Oryctolagus cuniculus: one gene and its partner. The protein of the gene in region 1 interacts with the protein of each later gene in a pairwise test. Links are inferred from orthologs where the notes say so. Each region holds a gene or a part of one and is shown in the gene's direction. Other genes may lie near its edges. The genes, in order: PEX6 and PEX26.

Region 1 (6,753 bases):
GACTCTGAGCGCAGAGGTTCCATGTGAGGACTGCTTTGGCCAAATGTGAAGGGAGGAAAATGTACCACAGGCAGCCTCCAGTCTGGACCGACTTCCTGCGGCAGAGAACTAAAAGGAGATCACAGCTGAGAGATGCACTAACCCAGCTTTAAGAGCTGTCCTGTCCCAGGTCTCCGGCCTCGCCAGCCCGGGGCCTCTGCCAAGAGAGACGCCTTATCTGGAGAACCTGATTCTCCCTGGTCCACATCCAAAGCTTGGCTCTGGCCGGGGCTCAGTGCCTCTAATCTCAGGGTGGTGCTGCCCATATGGAGAGCCTGGTGGTGCCCTGTGTAACCCCATTTAGGCTTCATGACACCTCTGCGGTGTCCCAGGCTGCGGCTGGGGTCTGACAGAAAATGCCACGCTGGCACTTACCAGGCAGTTCCCTCCTTTGTCTCCCATCTGAAATTTAGCAAACACCTGTGAGGAAAGCTATAGCATACCCACCCTTTGTGCTTCCCAAAGGAAAACAGGCGCAAGGACTAATCAAGACAGACCAGCAAGCCAGTTCTGTCCCTGGATCTCTGCCGTCCCAACCCTGTAGAAACCTGCCTTCCCTCTGGGTGCTGAGCACGTACGTGGTTCTCTCCCCCACCCCGGCAAGTCCCAAGGCAGGCAGGGTTGGGGTGCGTGGGCAGGTGGGCCCAAGGACAGATAGAGAGGAGTGCCTTGGGCTTCCCTAGGCTTGGTTAGGAATGTCCTCTGCTCCCTGGAAGGGAATTCCTTTGTTACTGGTGTAGCCTCTTCAGTGTGTTTCCTGTGCCCCACTTCCTAGAACCAGGCCATGCAGGAGCCAGCTCCACGGCTGTCCATCTGGCTCTCTGGAACATACCCCATGTCCTCTGCAGTGTCCTGATAGGTTCCCGAGCTCTGGCCCTTTTGCTCACTAGGGCGTTGCAGCAGCCCTCCGCGGGGGAAGGTGGTCTCTCGCTGTACACAGCAGTGCTGACCCTCCTCACACTCCTGTGCGGAGCTCCCGGCGCTGGCCATATGCTCCACTTGTGCTTGCTTTGACCGCAGTCACTGCCAGCTGGAACGCAGGCATTTTGAATGCTCACTTGCTGCACTTCCCCGGATCACCCTGAGGCATCCCCGCCTCCACCCACTGCTGGAGGACGGAGGGCGCAGCCTTGTAGCTGTGGTGCTGTGTGAGCAAGGGGCCCGAGTGATTGGCTCTGTCTTTGCCTTGCTGTCTGCAGGTTGAAGAGGGGAGGAGTTCGCCTCCTGTCTTTATTTGAAAGATGAAGTTAGTAGCTGCTACCTGCTGCCCATCCCCTTGAGGAGATTGAACTGCCCTCACTGGGACGCTAGCCAGAGTCTGCACAGCCCTGTCAGAATGGCGAGGGGAGCTTTTGAAACAGAAGCAAAGCCTTGTCCAGACCCATCAGACCAGAATCCTCTTCTTCCCTCAGAGGAGGGAGGACTGTTAATTTTTAAATCAAGATAAATTCACACACCATAAAACTCATACTTTCAACCCAGTGGTTTTAATTACATTCACACGGTCGTGCAGCCAACACCGCTGTCTAATTCCAGACCACTTTCGTCACCCTAGGAAAAGCCCGGAACTCACTGCCAGCCACTCCATATCCTCCCCTGCCCCTCGGCCTCTGGCAACCTTGAGTCTCCTAAATGAGAGCATATAATGAGTGAAAAATGTTTAATTTTTTTTTAAGCTTCACAGGTCATTCCCACATGCAGCCAGGAAAGAGAGACTCAGTACTCGTAGATATCGTTATCAGGGAGTCTGCCTGCCATTAGATTTTGTGGCTTGAATGAGAGCCAGGGAGTCTCCCTCCTTCTGAGGCTTGAGGGCCTGAGTGGGTATGTGCCAGGGGTCTTCAAAAAATTGTTATGTTAATGAGAAACTGTACACAGATCTCAAAAATGTTTGCATGCAAATAAACTTAGCTTTTAATTCCACTTTGCCGTGGACTTTGTGAAGTCCCCTCATTTGAGGTGGAGGCTGTGTTGTGAAGCCACCGGAAATGATGAGATAATCCCTTGCTGGCTGCGGCAGCCCGAGTACCTGCAGAAACACAGCCCCTAGGCCCTCTGAGGATTGTCGTTGGGGAGCAAAGGGACAGGGATAGCTCCTGCCCTTCGCATTTGTGGGGTGCAGTGTGGGGGAGAAAGGAAAAATCTTTCCTATCTCCCTGCACCCCTTGTCATGCACAAAGCCACCTTGTCCTGGGGTGGGCAGCCTGCAAGCCTGCGGTCTGGGGTTCATCGGGCCTCTCTCCCGCAGGTGGCGAGAGCTGTTCTTTAAAGTGAAGAGAACGATCGGGGAGGTTGCAGATGGGCCAGCCAGCACCTACTTGGCTGACACCACCCACACTTCCTTGTACATGGTGAGGCCCCAGGGTCGTGCGTAGACCTGGCAGGGAGGGAGGTGGGGGCTGGAAGCAAGATTTAGGAACACAAGCTGCTTCCTGCCTTTCCCAGGTGGGTTCCACCCTGAGCTGCGTTCCCAGTCTCCCTTCAGCAGGCGCTCCGTGGAGTTCCTTGTCTCCTCCGGGCCTGGAGGGCTTGGTGGCTGAGATCTGTGCTGCCCTGAAGCCTCGCCTCCAGCTGGGGTGAGTGAGGCTGCTGTCCTGGGGTGAGGAGAGCCTGCTTTAGAACCTGCCAGGCTGCCCGGTTCCTACTGCTGTGGCTGGAGTGGGAGTGGGAGGACCTTCCCCAGGCCTGTGTGCCTGGTCCCATCCTCCATAAGCGAGTTCCTAGGCTCTCTCCTGAGATAACCTCCATCCTCCGAAGTCGGCTGTGGACGAAGAACCAGCCCCAGAGGCTGCTTCTCTGGGGCTCCCCTTCCCATGCAGAGCCCACTGGCCCTGAAGGGCATAGCTGCCCAAGTGCAGAGCCAGTGCCCACCCTTGTGCCTCTCCATACAGTGCAGACCGGATGTGACAGTGCAGGCCTTGCCGCGGACACAGTGATGGTGGAAATGTGGGATGTGTTCCAGGCCCCACCAGATACCACAGGCGGTGTGGGAAGTGCGGGAGGTGCAGCCTCACTGTGGAGACAACACTGGGTTGTGGGCAGGGAGGCCCAGGAGAGAGAAACCCGGGTCTGCTTTTGAGATCCCACGGTTCCTGTGTGAGTGGGGACTTTAAATATGGGCAGAATTGAGGGTACAAGTGACTGTTCTCTGGTTTCAGAGGGGCCTTGCTGACAGGAACTAGCTGTGTCCTCCTGCGGGGCCCCCCAGGCAGTGGGAAGACCACAGCGGTCACGGCGGCCTGTGGTCGCCTTGGGCTCCACTTACTGAAGGTGAGGCTCTCTGGACAGCAGAGCCCCCTTGGCCTCCCCAGATTCTCCCTCTTCCTCCCCAGTACCTCGGTCCAGTGGGCCGCAGGTCAGCGTATTCCCATGATGCTCGGCCACTGTGGGTGCTTTCTAGAAGGAGGAGGGTGGACAGTCCAGGGCCTGGGGTAGGGTGGCTAAGAGGTGGGAGCTGGCCAGTGTGCCCCCTGTACCCAGCCCTGCCCTCAGGAGCAAGGGGGCCCATGCCTGCTTCTGACTGCTCCTCCCCACTCTGCCTGCCTCTGTACCAGGTGCCCTGCTCCAGCCTTTGTGCAGACAGCAGTGGGGCTGTGGAGACAAAACTGCAGGCCACCTTCTCCCGGGCCCGCCGCTGCCGGCCTGTGGTCCTGCTGCTGACGGCCCTGGACCTGCTAGGCCGCGACCGTGATGGGCTGGGCGAGGATGCCCGGGTGGTGGCCGTGCTGCATCACCTCCTCCTCAATGAGGACCCCCTCAGCAGGTATTCATGAAGGGCTGGGCCTGGCGTCCCGCGAGGCCTGGGCTCCCCCTGGAGCCATTCAGTGCTTCCTCACAGCCCCTGTGGCTTCTCAGCCATCCGCTGCTCCCTGGGTTGCCACTGGCAGCCCTGAGCTGAGGGTCCTGGGGTGTCTGGAGGGAGGAGGATGTGGTCCCGGGACCTCCTGGGAAGAACAGCTCCCATCCCCCGAGGTATTCCCTTGGCCCAGCCGGGAACTTTAGGGTGGGGCTGATCTCTGCCCCATCCCGGCCCCACCACTGTCCCTGCCCTGCAGCCACCTCAGCACAGGGCAGGGCCTAGGAGCTCCAGCCACGTTCCCGCCCTCAGTGCCCACCCCTCCTCCTGCAGCCGCCCTCCCCTCATGGTTGTGGCCACCACAAGCCGGGCCCAGGACCTGCCTGCTGACATACAGACAGCATTTCCACACGAGCTGGAGGTGCCCGTGCTGTCAGAGGGGCAGCGGCTCAGCATCCTGCGGGCCCTCACTGCCCACCTCCCCCTGGGCCAAGAGGTGAACCTGGCACAGCTGGCACGGCGGTGTGCAGTGAGTATGAAGGCAGGGCACTGCGCCTCCCCGGGAGGCCACAGGAGCTCAGTGCTGGCTGCTGCCTGCCAGTGAGGGGAGGAACCCCCAAGTCCGCTCTGCCGGGCACCAGTCCCCCATGGTTCCCGCCTGCCACGCCCTGTTCATGTGTCCCCCTGCGCTTTGCTAGGGCTTCGTGGCCGGGGATCTCTGTGCCCTTGTGGCCCACAGCAGCCGGGCAGCCTGCACCAGGATCAGGAACTCAGGGTAAGGGGAGTTCAGCACAGGAGGGGACAGGTGGCAAGAGGAGATGGGGAGGGGCCGGGAAGGAGGCCTTGTGCCAGGTCCTCCTGGGGACTCTGCTCCTCCCGCAGTTTGCCGGGCGGCTGGAGCGAGGAGGATGAGGGGGAGCTGTGTGCGGCCGGCTTTCCCCTTCTGGCTGAGGACTTCGGGCAGGCGCTGGAGCAGCTGCAGACGGCTCACTCCCGGGCCGTGGGAGCCCCCAAGGTGCAGACTCTGGCCAGTGGAGGCTGGGCAGGAGCTGCCTCCACCAGCATATGCCAGACGCCCACCCCCCATCTTCCAGATCCCCTCGGTGTCCTGGCATGACGTAGGCGGGCTGCAGGAGGTGAAGAGGGAGATCCTGGAGACCATTCAGCTCCCCCTGGAGCACCCTGAGCTGCTGAGCCTGGGCCTGAGGCGCTCAGGCCTTCTGCTCCACGGGCCCCCTGGGACAGGCAAGACCCTCCTGGCCAAGGCGGTAGCCACGGAGTGCAGCCTCACCTTCCTCAGGTGGGCGAGGGATGGGGGGCAGCCCGAGAGGGGGGTGACTGTGTGTGTGCACACGCATCTGATGGGTCTCTCCCTCCCATGACCTCCCTCAGTGTGAAGGGGCCAGAGCTCATCAACATGTACGTGGGCCAGAGTGAGGAGAACGTGCGGGAAGGTGAGAGGGGAGGCCCTGGGCTTCAGCCCCTCCCCCAGGCTGCTGGTGGTCACGCCTCGTCCTCCCTTGCACGAGGCAGTCCCTGCCTGGAGTGCGGCCTCCCTGTCTTCTCCCAGCCTCAGACCCCCGAGCCCCCCTCGCTGCCTGCCCCTCTCTCCCCTCAGTGTTCGCCAGGGCCAGGGCTGCGGCGCCATGCATTATCTTCTTTGATGAGCTGGACTCCCTGGCCCCAAGCCGGGGGCGAAGTGGAGACTCTGGAGGAGTGATGGACAGGTGGGGGTCTGAGTGAGAGTGGAGTCTGGGGTCCTGGGTGGGAGCCAAAGAGAGAATTTCCTGCCCTTCCAGTTCAGTGGTGCCAGGGAGCCCAGGGACCTGTGTGGAGGGCACAGGCAGAGCTGGTTGCAAGGCCCCGGTGAGGAGCAGCCTGCAGGGAGAGGCAGCACAGGCGGGGCAGGTCCCCAGGGCCCTCCCAGCTCCGCTTCCCCCCCTCCAGGGTGGTGTCACAGCTCCTGGCCGAGCTGGACGGGCTTCACAGCACTCAGGATGTGTTTGTGATTGGAGCCACCAACAGACCAGACCTCCTGGACCCTGCCCTTCTGCGACCTGGCAGGTGGGCACCCCAGCCTGCTCACCCCCCACCAGGCCCATCTGGGCTCATCCCTCACCCCTGCTCTGCGTCTCCTCCCCCCCTTCCTGGCTGGGCTTCCTCTCACAGACACCCCCATCTCCCTAAGATTTGACAAGCTGGTGTTTGTGGGTGCAAGTGAGGACCGGGCCTCCCAGCTGCGTGTTCTGAGCGCCATCACACGCAAGTATGCCCTGTTCCAGAGACACTCCCCGAGGGCCTGGGCCTTGGGGTGGCCACGGGGTGTGTTGGGCAGTGATGGCTTCAGAGGGAGGATGTGAGGACTGCTGTAACTGTTCCCCACCCCCACAAGATTCAAGCTTGAGCCCTCGGTGAGCCTGGTGAAGGTGCTGGACTGCTGCCCGCCCCAGCTAACAGGCGCAGACCTGTACTCTCTCTGCTCGGACGCCATGACAGCTGCCCTCAAACGCAGGGTTCGTGACCTGGAGGAAGGTGAGCCCATTGCCAGCCCCAGAAATCAACCAAAAACACTAGTGCGAGCCAGGCCTGGGGCTGCATTTCAGAAGAGGGCCATCCGGGCACTCTGAGCAGGAAGGGCCCTCCCCTGGGTCACAGCCTCTGCCTTCAGCGGAGATGGGGCCGCTGGTCTCCCCCTGCCACCCCCCTTTCCCCCCAGGGCTGGAGCCGGCCAGCTCGGCACTGCTGCTCACCATGGAGGACCTGCTGCAGGCCGCCGCCCAGCTGCAGCCCTCGGTCAGCGAGCAGGAGCTGCTGCGGTACAAACGCATCCAGCGCAAGTTTGCTGCCTGCTAGGAGCCCCCTGCAGACCGGGACTCTGTCCAGAATGGCTAAAGGTACCCAGGTGGCCCCACAGAGAG
Region 2 (7,546 bases), on another chromosome or scaffold:
ATGCCATAAACAGGAGTGTCAATTGGTAAAGTCAACAACAGGAGTCACTGTGCACTTACTCCTCATGTAGGATCTCGGTCCTTAACGTGCTGTACACTGAGGCTTAATGCTATAACGAGTACTCAAACAGTATATTTCACTTTGTGTTTCTATGGGGGTGCAAACGACTGAAATCTTTACTTAATGTACACTAAACTGATCTTTTGTAAAAAAAAAAAAAAAAAAAAGAAAGAAATTTTCAATTCCCAACTTGACTCTCACTGGGATTAAACATGACAATAGGTCTGATCTGATTTCATCATCATTTTAAAAAAATCATCTATTATTTTTCACTTTATGTTTCTGTGTGGGAGCAAACTGTTGAAATACTTACTTAAGGTATACTAAGCTGATCTTCTGTATATTAAGATAATCGAAAATGAATCTTGATGTGAATGGAAGGGGAGAGGGAGTGGGAAAGGGGAGGGTTGTTGGTGGGAGGGACGGTATGGGGGGGGAAGCCATTGTAACCCATGAGTCGTACTTTGGAAATTTATATTCATTAAATAAAAGATAAAAAAAAAAAAAAAAAAAAAAAAAAAGAGTGAGTGCATGTTCAGATGCCGGCGACCCCATGAGGAGAGACATCAACCATAAGAATCTGCCTTTGTGAGCAAAAGGTAGAAAGAGCCATGTGCCTGTGAGGAGAGAGAGCCCCCAATGGAGCAGATGCTTTCTTTGTATAGGGAGTGGTGCCCTAATTGCATGTACAAATGGAGTGGGACTCAGTACATGTGATATTCTCTGGGAAGGATTTCATGTTGGAACTCAATGTACAGTTGCTCATCATCTCTTCTTCATGTGGATAGGTGTGTCATGAGAAAGTGGCTGTATTGAATTACCATGCAAGGAGGGGGGGGTGGAGTTAGGGTGCAGGGCTAGAGACATAAAGTGTGGAAAACCTCCCAGCTCTGTGGCTCCTTACCTGATCCCATGCCTATCTCCTATCAATATCAACTCTACCTTTCCACTATTTCAAGTCCCAATCCTTTTTCTCTGTTTTATTTCAACTTAGCATTTATCATTATATGACACAGTATTCTGCAAGTTTTGCTTATTTTCTATGTTGACTTATTTTTTTTTTTTTGCCTCTTTTGTTCTTTATGCCATCTGCAGTGCTTAGAACAGTGCCTGACATCTCACAGGCATTCAAAAATTACCTCTGCAATGACAAGTCCTCTGCTCATCACCTTGTTTGGCTATAGGGTACATACCTTTCTTTCCTTGGAGTTTGATGAGCTTGATGTTTTCGCTTTCGCTTTCCTTGAGGACTTTGAGCAGAAAGCTGAAAGCCCCGAAAATGGATGTGTTCATGCCTCTGAGCAGGCACTCACCTTGTGCCCGGCCTATCTGATCTAATCAGAGAGCAAGTAAACGTGAAGACTCACTGGGGAGAGTTCAAAAGCAGACAACCAGAGAGAAACTAAAGCCAAGCGGTCCTGGTAAGAAACATAGGCTTGTCAAACCCTGGACTAAATATAGAGCACAACGTGTAATTTATGTATCTGTGAAACATTGCATAATATCTTTTACAGCTACAATTTATCAAATGCCCTCTGTGGTCCCAGTATTTTATTGTAAATCTCATCACACACTGCGTGGCTTTTTGTTAACAATATCCTTATTTTATATGAGAAAACAAAGGTTCAAGGAGTTAAACTTACAACTGCTTGTACCATGATTGTGCGTCCTCTCTGAATAGAAAGTATTGACCTTGTTCTGTCCCTGCAGAAATAGTGACTTAAAACACATACCTGTGTTTTTGGTTACTTTCTACGGCAACTAGATAAGCCTCAATTGCCTCATCTGTAAAATGAGGTAACAATTGTCCTTTTTTTTTTTTTTTTCTTTTCTTTTTGGACAGGCAGAGTGGACAGAGAGAGAGAGAGAGACAGAGAGAAAAGTCTTCCTTTCCCATTGGTTCACCCTCCAATGGCCGCCGCGGCCCGCGCGCTGCGGCTGGCGCACCGCGCTGATCCGATGGCAGGAGCCAGGAGCCAGGTGCTTCTCCTGGTCTCCCATGGGGTGCAGGGCCCAAGCACCTGGGCCATCCTCCACTGCACTCCCGGGCCACAGCAGAGAGCTGGCCTGGAAGAGGAGCAACCGGGACAGAATCCGGCGCCCGGACCGGGACTAGAACCCAGTGTGCCCGCGCTGCAAGGCGAAGGATTAGCCTATTGAGCTGCGGCGCCGGCAACAGTTGTTCTTAATTCACAGCTGTCCTTAATTCACAGACTCAAGAATTAAATGGCACGCAACGTGCTTAGCACAGCGTCACAACCTTCAAGAACTAAGTGTGAATTGTGCTGGAGACAGTCCGGAAAAGCAGACAGCTGCAACCTTGAGTTTTCGTGCCTTTCCTGGTCTCCCCTCCCGACGTCCTGCCTGCCATCCCGACACAAGCTCAGAATTAGAAGCTCCACCTCAATCAGTGGACTTCTTTCTGTCCAGCTTGTTCTTGCACTCGGTTACCGAGCGGCCTTCTTCATTCCCCAATATAATTCCGGTTTTGTTAACTGCTCGTCTACCCCTCTTTCCCGTTCCCAGAGCCGGCAAGCAGGTAGGTTTTCTCCTAGGACCGTGACCGTATCCGCGGCGTGGCATTCTGGGAGCTGTAGTCCAAATCCTCCCATCTGCTTCTAGAGAGCGACTGAGCCGAGAGGCGGGAACTACGAATCCCAGCGTCCTCCGCGCATCCGGTGCCGCACTGCTACCGCGGGCTGCGAGAGCCGGAAGATGGCCGCGCCCTGTGCTCGGTACCCGCAGTGAGGCAGTCTTTTGGTACAAAGAAGCGCGGAATGTCACTCTTCGGAGCTCAGGTGCTCGGGCACATGTCGTGAGGCCGGAGCAGCTAGGGCCAGGTATTCCGAGGACGCAGTAATTCTGTAAACCTGAGGTGAAAACCGAGGTGCCAGGTGCTTTTGAGCCCAGCCTTTGCCTCACAAATGGCCCCTTCCTTTTCGTTCTGCAGGAATTGACCCAGGGGAGGGTGGTGGGTCAGGATATGAGGACTCCCCTTTTCTCTCAGGCCGCCTCGGGACATCCTGGAGCCTTTGGAAAGGTGGGTTACTCTGGCGTCTGAAGAGACAGCCCCCGAGCCCAGGCAGGCTATGAAGAGCGACTCTTCGGCCTCTGCAGCCCCCCTCAAAGGACTCGGGGGGCTCCTGCGGAGCAGCGAGCCCGTGCGCTCCGGCCCGGCCTGTTCTCTCGCCGTGGATCTGCTGGAGGAGGCAGCAGACTTCCTAGTGGTGCACCTGGACTTCCGGGCGGCGCTGGCGACCTGCGAACGCGCGTGGCTGAGCCTGGCCAGCGAAGGTCTGGCTGAGGAGCCCGCCGGCACGTACGTGCTATGTTCCGTCCGTTTCCGGGCCGTTTTGTGGAGGGACTCAATAGGTCGCGGCATAGCTTTCCTTTCCAGATTGCTCACGAGGAGCCTCATAGCTCGCTTTCGTGAGTGGCTGCTTTCAGAGCACCTGGGTATTTATATTGTGTCCATTCTATAGAGGAGGAAACTGAGGCACTGCACAATGAAGAAGCGATCAGGCGTGTTACAGTTTAGTGGGAACCCACGGCCAGTTCTTGGCGCCTCCTTGCAGTGTAGACTGGCGTGATAGAAAGGTTGAATGAGTGTTAACGTCTGTCAGTGAACAGGTTGCAGAGCCTCCCAGCTGCCCCTTTCGCTAGGCTCTGAGGTTGTTCGCTCTTGACCTTGGCTGATGAAGGGGAATGGGGGTCAGGGAAGGAGTAGGGTTATGGTCCTGTTGAATGATTGGATTAAATAATGAATCTGGAGAAAGCCTTGGTACTGCATTGCTCCTCCTAATACCTCCATCCTTCCTTGGCAGTTCAGGGCGCCATTTCTCATGGGTTTTAATGGTGCATTAGGCCATACCAGGGAGGTGATGGGTAGAATAGTAAAAGCTGACCCCAAAGAATGAACTAGAGGCCTGGCTGTGTTTTTAGGTGGCGATTGGGTGCTTATGCAGTAAATGCAAAAGGCTTTGCTTCGGGGTGTCTGGAGGCAATACTAAAAGGCCAATTTTAGAGTTCCTGTACCTACACTTAGCCAGAAATCTTGTTCGAAACTCTTATTCACTAAACATTTGGCTCCACCTTTTTCTTTAAAATTTTTTTTAAAATTGTAATATAGTATACATACCAAGAAATGCACATAAGTGTACAGATGAGATTTTGTCTTCTGAGCATACTCATATCCAACATTTAAACAAAAAACAAAGTATTACTAATACCCTGAGAGTCCTCACTATCCCCCCCAACATTTCTCCTTTTTTAAATGTGGAAAGCAGGAGTATATTGTTATTTACTTGTGCTCCACCTCCTTACATCCACACACCTGTGCTCAAGTTCTCCCCCCACCTCCCAGCCCCTCTTATCCTTCCCATTCATTTATTCCTGATTTTACCTGGATACCAGGATATGTATTTGCCGACAGCTGATTTACCCCAAAGTTTACAGGAACTTTAAGCTCCCAGGCGAAAGGGCAGCCCATGAGACTGAATGTGGGGCCCAGTAGAATACTGATGGGGAAGATAGAGGTTGATAACTGCTGAGGTAGGAAGTAGAGAAGAGCAGTCCCAGGGTGGAGGCGGGCATGGAAATGGAGTGGAATCCCTTCTAAACCAAATGGGTCTTTCTGCTGACAGCTCCTTGGAGGTGAAATGCTCCCTGTGTGTTGTGGGGATCCAGGCGCTGGCAGAAATGGACCGGTGGCAGGAAGTCCTCTCCTGGGTCCTTCAGTACTACAAGGTCCCTGAAAAGCTACCTCCCAAAGTCCTGGAGCTGTGGTATGTTCTTCTTGCTTGTATAGTCTCAGTCCTGAAGATTTCATGTCCTCTCCTGAATTAGGCTCTAGTATCTCCTTTTTCCCCTTCCCTACCACTTTCTTACAAATCTAATCATTTCTCCTCTTCCCCCCACCCCCTTTTTTCAGACCCCAAAAGGGATGAGGGAGGAGGAGTTTAGGAGTAGGGTAGAGAACAGGGGACACAGGATGGGAGAGAAGTGGGAGGAAAGAAATGGACAAAGCTGAGAACCTGCCTGCTACTTTCTAGGAATTCCTGCTAATTTTTTAAAATTATTTTATTTATTTGAAAGGCAGACCGAGAAAGAGAGTTACGCAGAGATATCTCCAATCTGCACTTCCCAAATGCTCACAGGAGCTTGAATTGGGCATGGCCAAAGCTAGAAGCTGGGAATTCAATCTAGCTTTCCCACGAGGATGGCAAGGATTCAAGTATTTGAGCCCTTACCTTCCACCTTCCAGGGTGTGCATTAGTTGGAATCAGGAGCAGAGGTGGGATTTGAACCCAGGTTCTCTGATAGAGGATACAAGTATCCCAAAGTGGTGTCTTAACCACTGTGCAGAACATACCTGCCCGCCCAATTCTAGTAGTGCCGGCATTCTGTAGGAAAGGGCTGGAGGACATGGAGAGATTGGGTAGGATCAGCATAATAGTTACGAGAAATGAAGCAACTGTGGAGAACTGACTTTTCTTTGTTGGGGGTGGATTGGATTATTTGGGGTTGCAGCATTCTGTTATACAGCAAGATGAAAGAGCCTGGAGCCATGCTGGATGTGGTCAGTGCCTGGCTCCAAGACCCTGGTAATCAGGACCTTCCAGAATATGGAGCCTTGGCAGAACTTCACCTGCAGCGGGTGCTGCTGCCTCTGGGCCACTTGTTGGAGGCTGAGGAGCTAGTGACTGGTTCTATAGCCTTTGATGAGGAGCAGCGGCTGGGTGGACTCCACGCCATTCATTCAGCGAGGCTGCGGCAGACACAGGAACACTCAGGCTCTCAGCAGACCCAGGAGCTAAACCAGGAAGGTAGGACATTATTCCTGTGTGTTGTCTTTAAAGTGGAGTTGTGGGCTCTGTCTGCGCCTGTGTCCAACATGGCTCTCCTGGGAGCTCGGGAGCAATTCTTTGTATGAATAATTTCTGAATCACAGGAAAAGACCTTACAGACCCTCTGAAGTTGGCAATGGAAGGAGTATCTTCATATGGGGAGATATTGCTGGGTCTTTTTTTTTTTTTTTAATATTTATTTATTTCTTTGAAAGGCAGAGTTACAGAGAGGCATAGAGAGAGAGATAGAGAAAGGTCTTCCATTGTTTCACTCCCCAGTTGGCAGCAATGGCTGGAGCTGTGTCGATCAGAGCCAGGAGCCCAGGAGCTTCCTCTGGTTTCCCCATGAGGGTGCAGGGGCCCAAGGGCTTGGGTCATCCTCTACTGCTTTCTCAGGCCATAGCAGAGAGCTGGATCAGAAATGGAGCAGCCAGACTTGAATCAAACTGGTGCCCATATGGGATGCAAGCACTGCAGACTGGGGCTTTAATCCGCTGCACGACAGTGCTGCGCCCTGGGTCTTATTTTTCAGAAGTCACATTCTCATTGGGGTTTGATCAGTTACCTTTCTAGAGTCCTCTCTTTAGACTTTACTAGCTTTCTTGCTTCCATGATGCTGGCCTCTTCCTTTAAATGCTGGCCCAAATGCACATAGGGGTGACACGCTTGGGAGTAGCCAAAGGAAAGATAAGAAACATAAAATAATTTGGTTTCTTGACATAGGAGATAAGAATTAATTTATCTTTAACTTTGGGTCCTCCTGCCCAATATCCTGCCTGCCTTCACATACAAGAGCTTTTGAGGGGTTTCTCGTGGTTGATGTCCAACCCTTAACATTCAAGTTTTACACAATGGCTTTTGTAGGGAAACCACTACGTAGACCTGATACTAACTGCCTAGCTAGTATTATATAAGGCGTCCTTAAACTAGTAGAAGTGAGGATTCTTTTGTTACCAGGGTTAGGGACTTTAAAGATCCTCCACCTAGACGGCCCAAGTACTTGGGCCCTGCACCCCATGGGAGACCAGGATAAGTACCTGACTCCTGCCATCGGATCGGTATGGTGCGCCGGCTGCAGCATGCTGGCCGCGGCGGCCATTGGAGGGTGAACCAACGGCAAAGGAAGACCTTTCTCTCTGTCTCTCTCTCTCACTGTCCACTCTGCCTGTCAAAAAAAAAAAAAAAAAAAATATTCCACCTAGACCCTTCCCCTGGTCCTTGAGTCCTTTTAGCTATTTTCCTTGAGTGCTTATTAGCCTGTGTGACTTCCAAGGGCAGAAAATTCACTTTCCTGCGTCAGTGGACAGTTTTGTGGGGAGTTCCTATGCTGAGTTGAAGTTTTTCTTGGAGTTTTTGCTCACTGATCACTGTTGTGTTTTTTTTTTTTTTTTTTAACCTCTTGGTAGCCTATAATAACTTCTTTCATTTAAAAAATATGAAAACTCTTAGCTTAATTAGGAGACTAACCCTGTTTTCTGAAATATTTTTTCTCTTAAAATTTTTTTCTTTTAAACTTGTCATTTTATTTATTGTTTATTTGAAAGGCAGAACAGCCTTGTGAGAGGGACAAAGGCAGAGACAGACATAGCTAGATGTAGACATAGACCTTGCATCCATTGGCTCACTTCCCAAATGTCTGC

The links.
Region 2: the proteins of PEX6 (region 1) and PEX26 come close enough for resonance energy transfer, tested with the Homo sapiens proteins (2 studies listed by BioGRID). The link is inferred for Oryctolagus cuniculus from reciprocal best matches to the Homo sapiens genes PEX6 and PEX26.

What each region holds. Positions count from the first base shown.
Region 1 is NC_091436.1:127,040,124-127,046,876, forward strand, and holds part of PEX6 (peroxisome biogenesis factor 6), read left to right. Parts: intron 1-2,287; coding exon 2,288-2,390; intron 2,391-2,484; coding exon 2,485-2,615; intron 2,616-3,197; coding exon 3,198-3,309; intron 3,310-3,593; coding exon 3,594-3,802; intron 3,803-4,168; coding exon 4,169-4,364; intron 4,365-4,533; coding exon 4,534-4,610; intron 4,611-4,687; coding exon 4,688-4,850; intron 4,851-4,929; coding exon 4,930-5,135; intron 5,136-5,227; coding exon 5,228-5,289; intron 5,290-5,453; coding exon 5,454-5,562; intron 5,563-5,782; coding exon 5,783-5,899; intron 5,900-6,023; coding exon 6,024-6,101; intron 6,102-6,227; coding exon 6,228-6,367; intron 6,368-6,551; coding exon 6,552-6,688; 3' UTR 6,689-6,753. UniProt on the Homo sapiens protein: Component of the PEX1-PEX6 AAA ATPase complex, a protein dislocase complex that mediates the ATP-dependent extraction of the PEX5 receptor from peroxisomal membranes, an essential step for PEX5 recycling.
Region 2 is NC_091440.1:88,962,329-88,969,874, reverse strand, and holds the start of PEX26 (peroxisome assembly protein 26), read left to right. Parts: upstream 1-2,729; 5' UTR 2,730-2,900; exon of another isoform or gene 2,901-3,067; 5' UTR 3,068-3,149; coding exon 3,150-3,379; intron 3,380-4,703; coding exon 4,704-4,844; intron 4,845-5,589; coding exon 5,590-5,885; intron 5,886-7,546. UniProt on the Homo sapiens protein: Peroxisomal docking factor that anchors PEX1 and PEX6 to peroxisome membranes. PEX26 is therefore required for the formation of the PEX1-PEX6 AAA ATPase complex, a complex that mediates the extraction of the PEX5 receptor from peroxisomal membrane.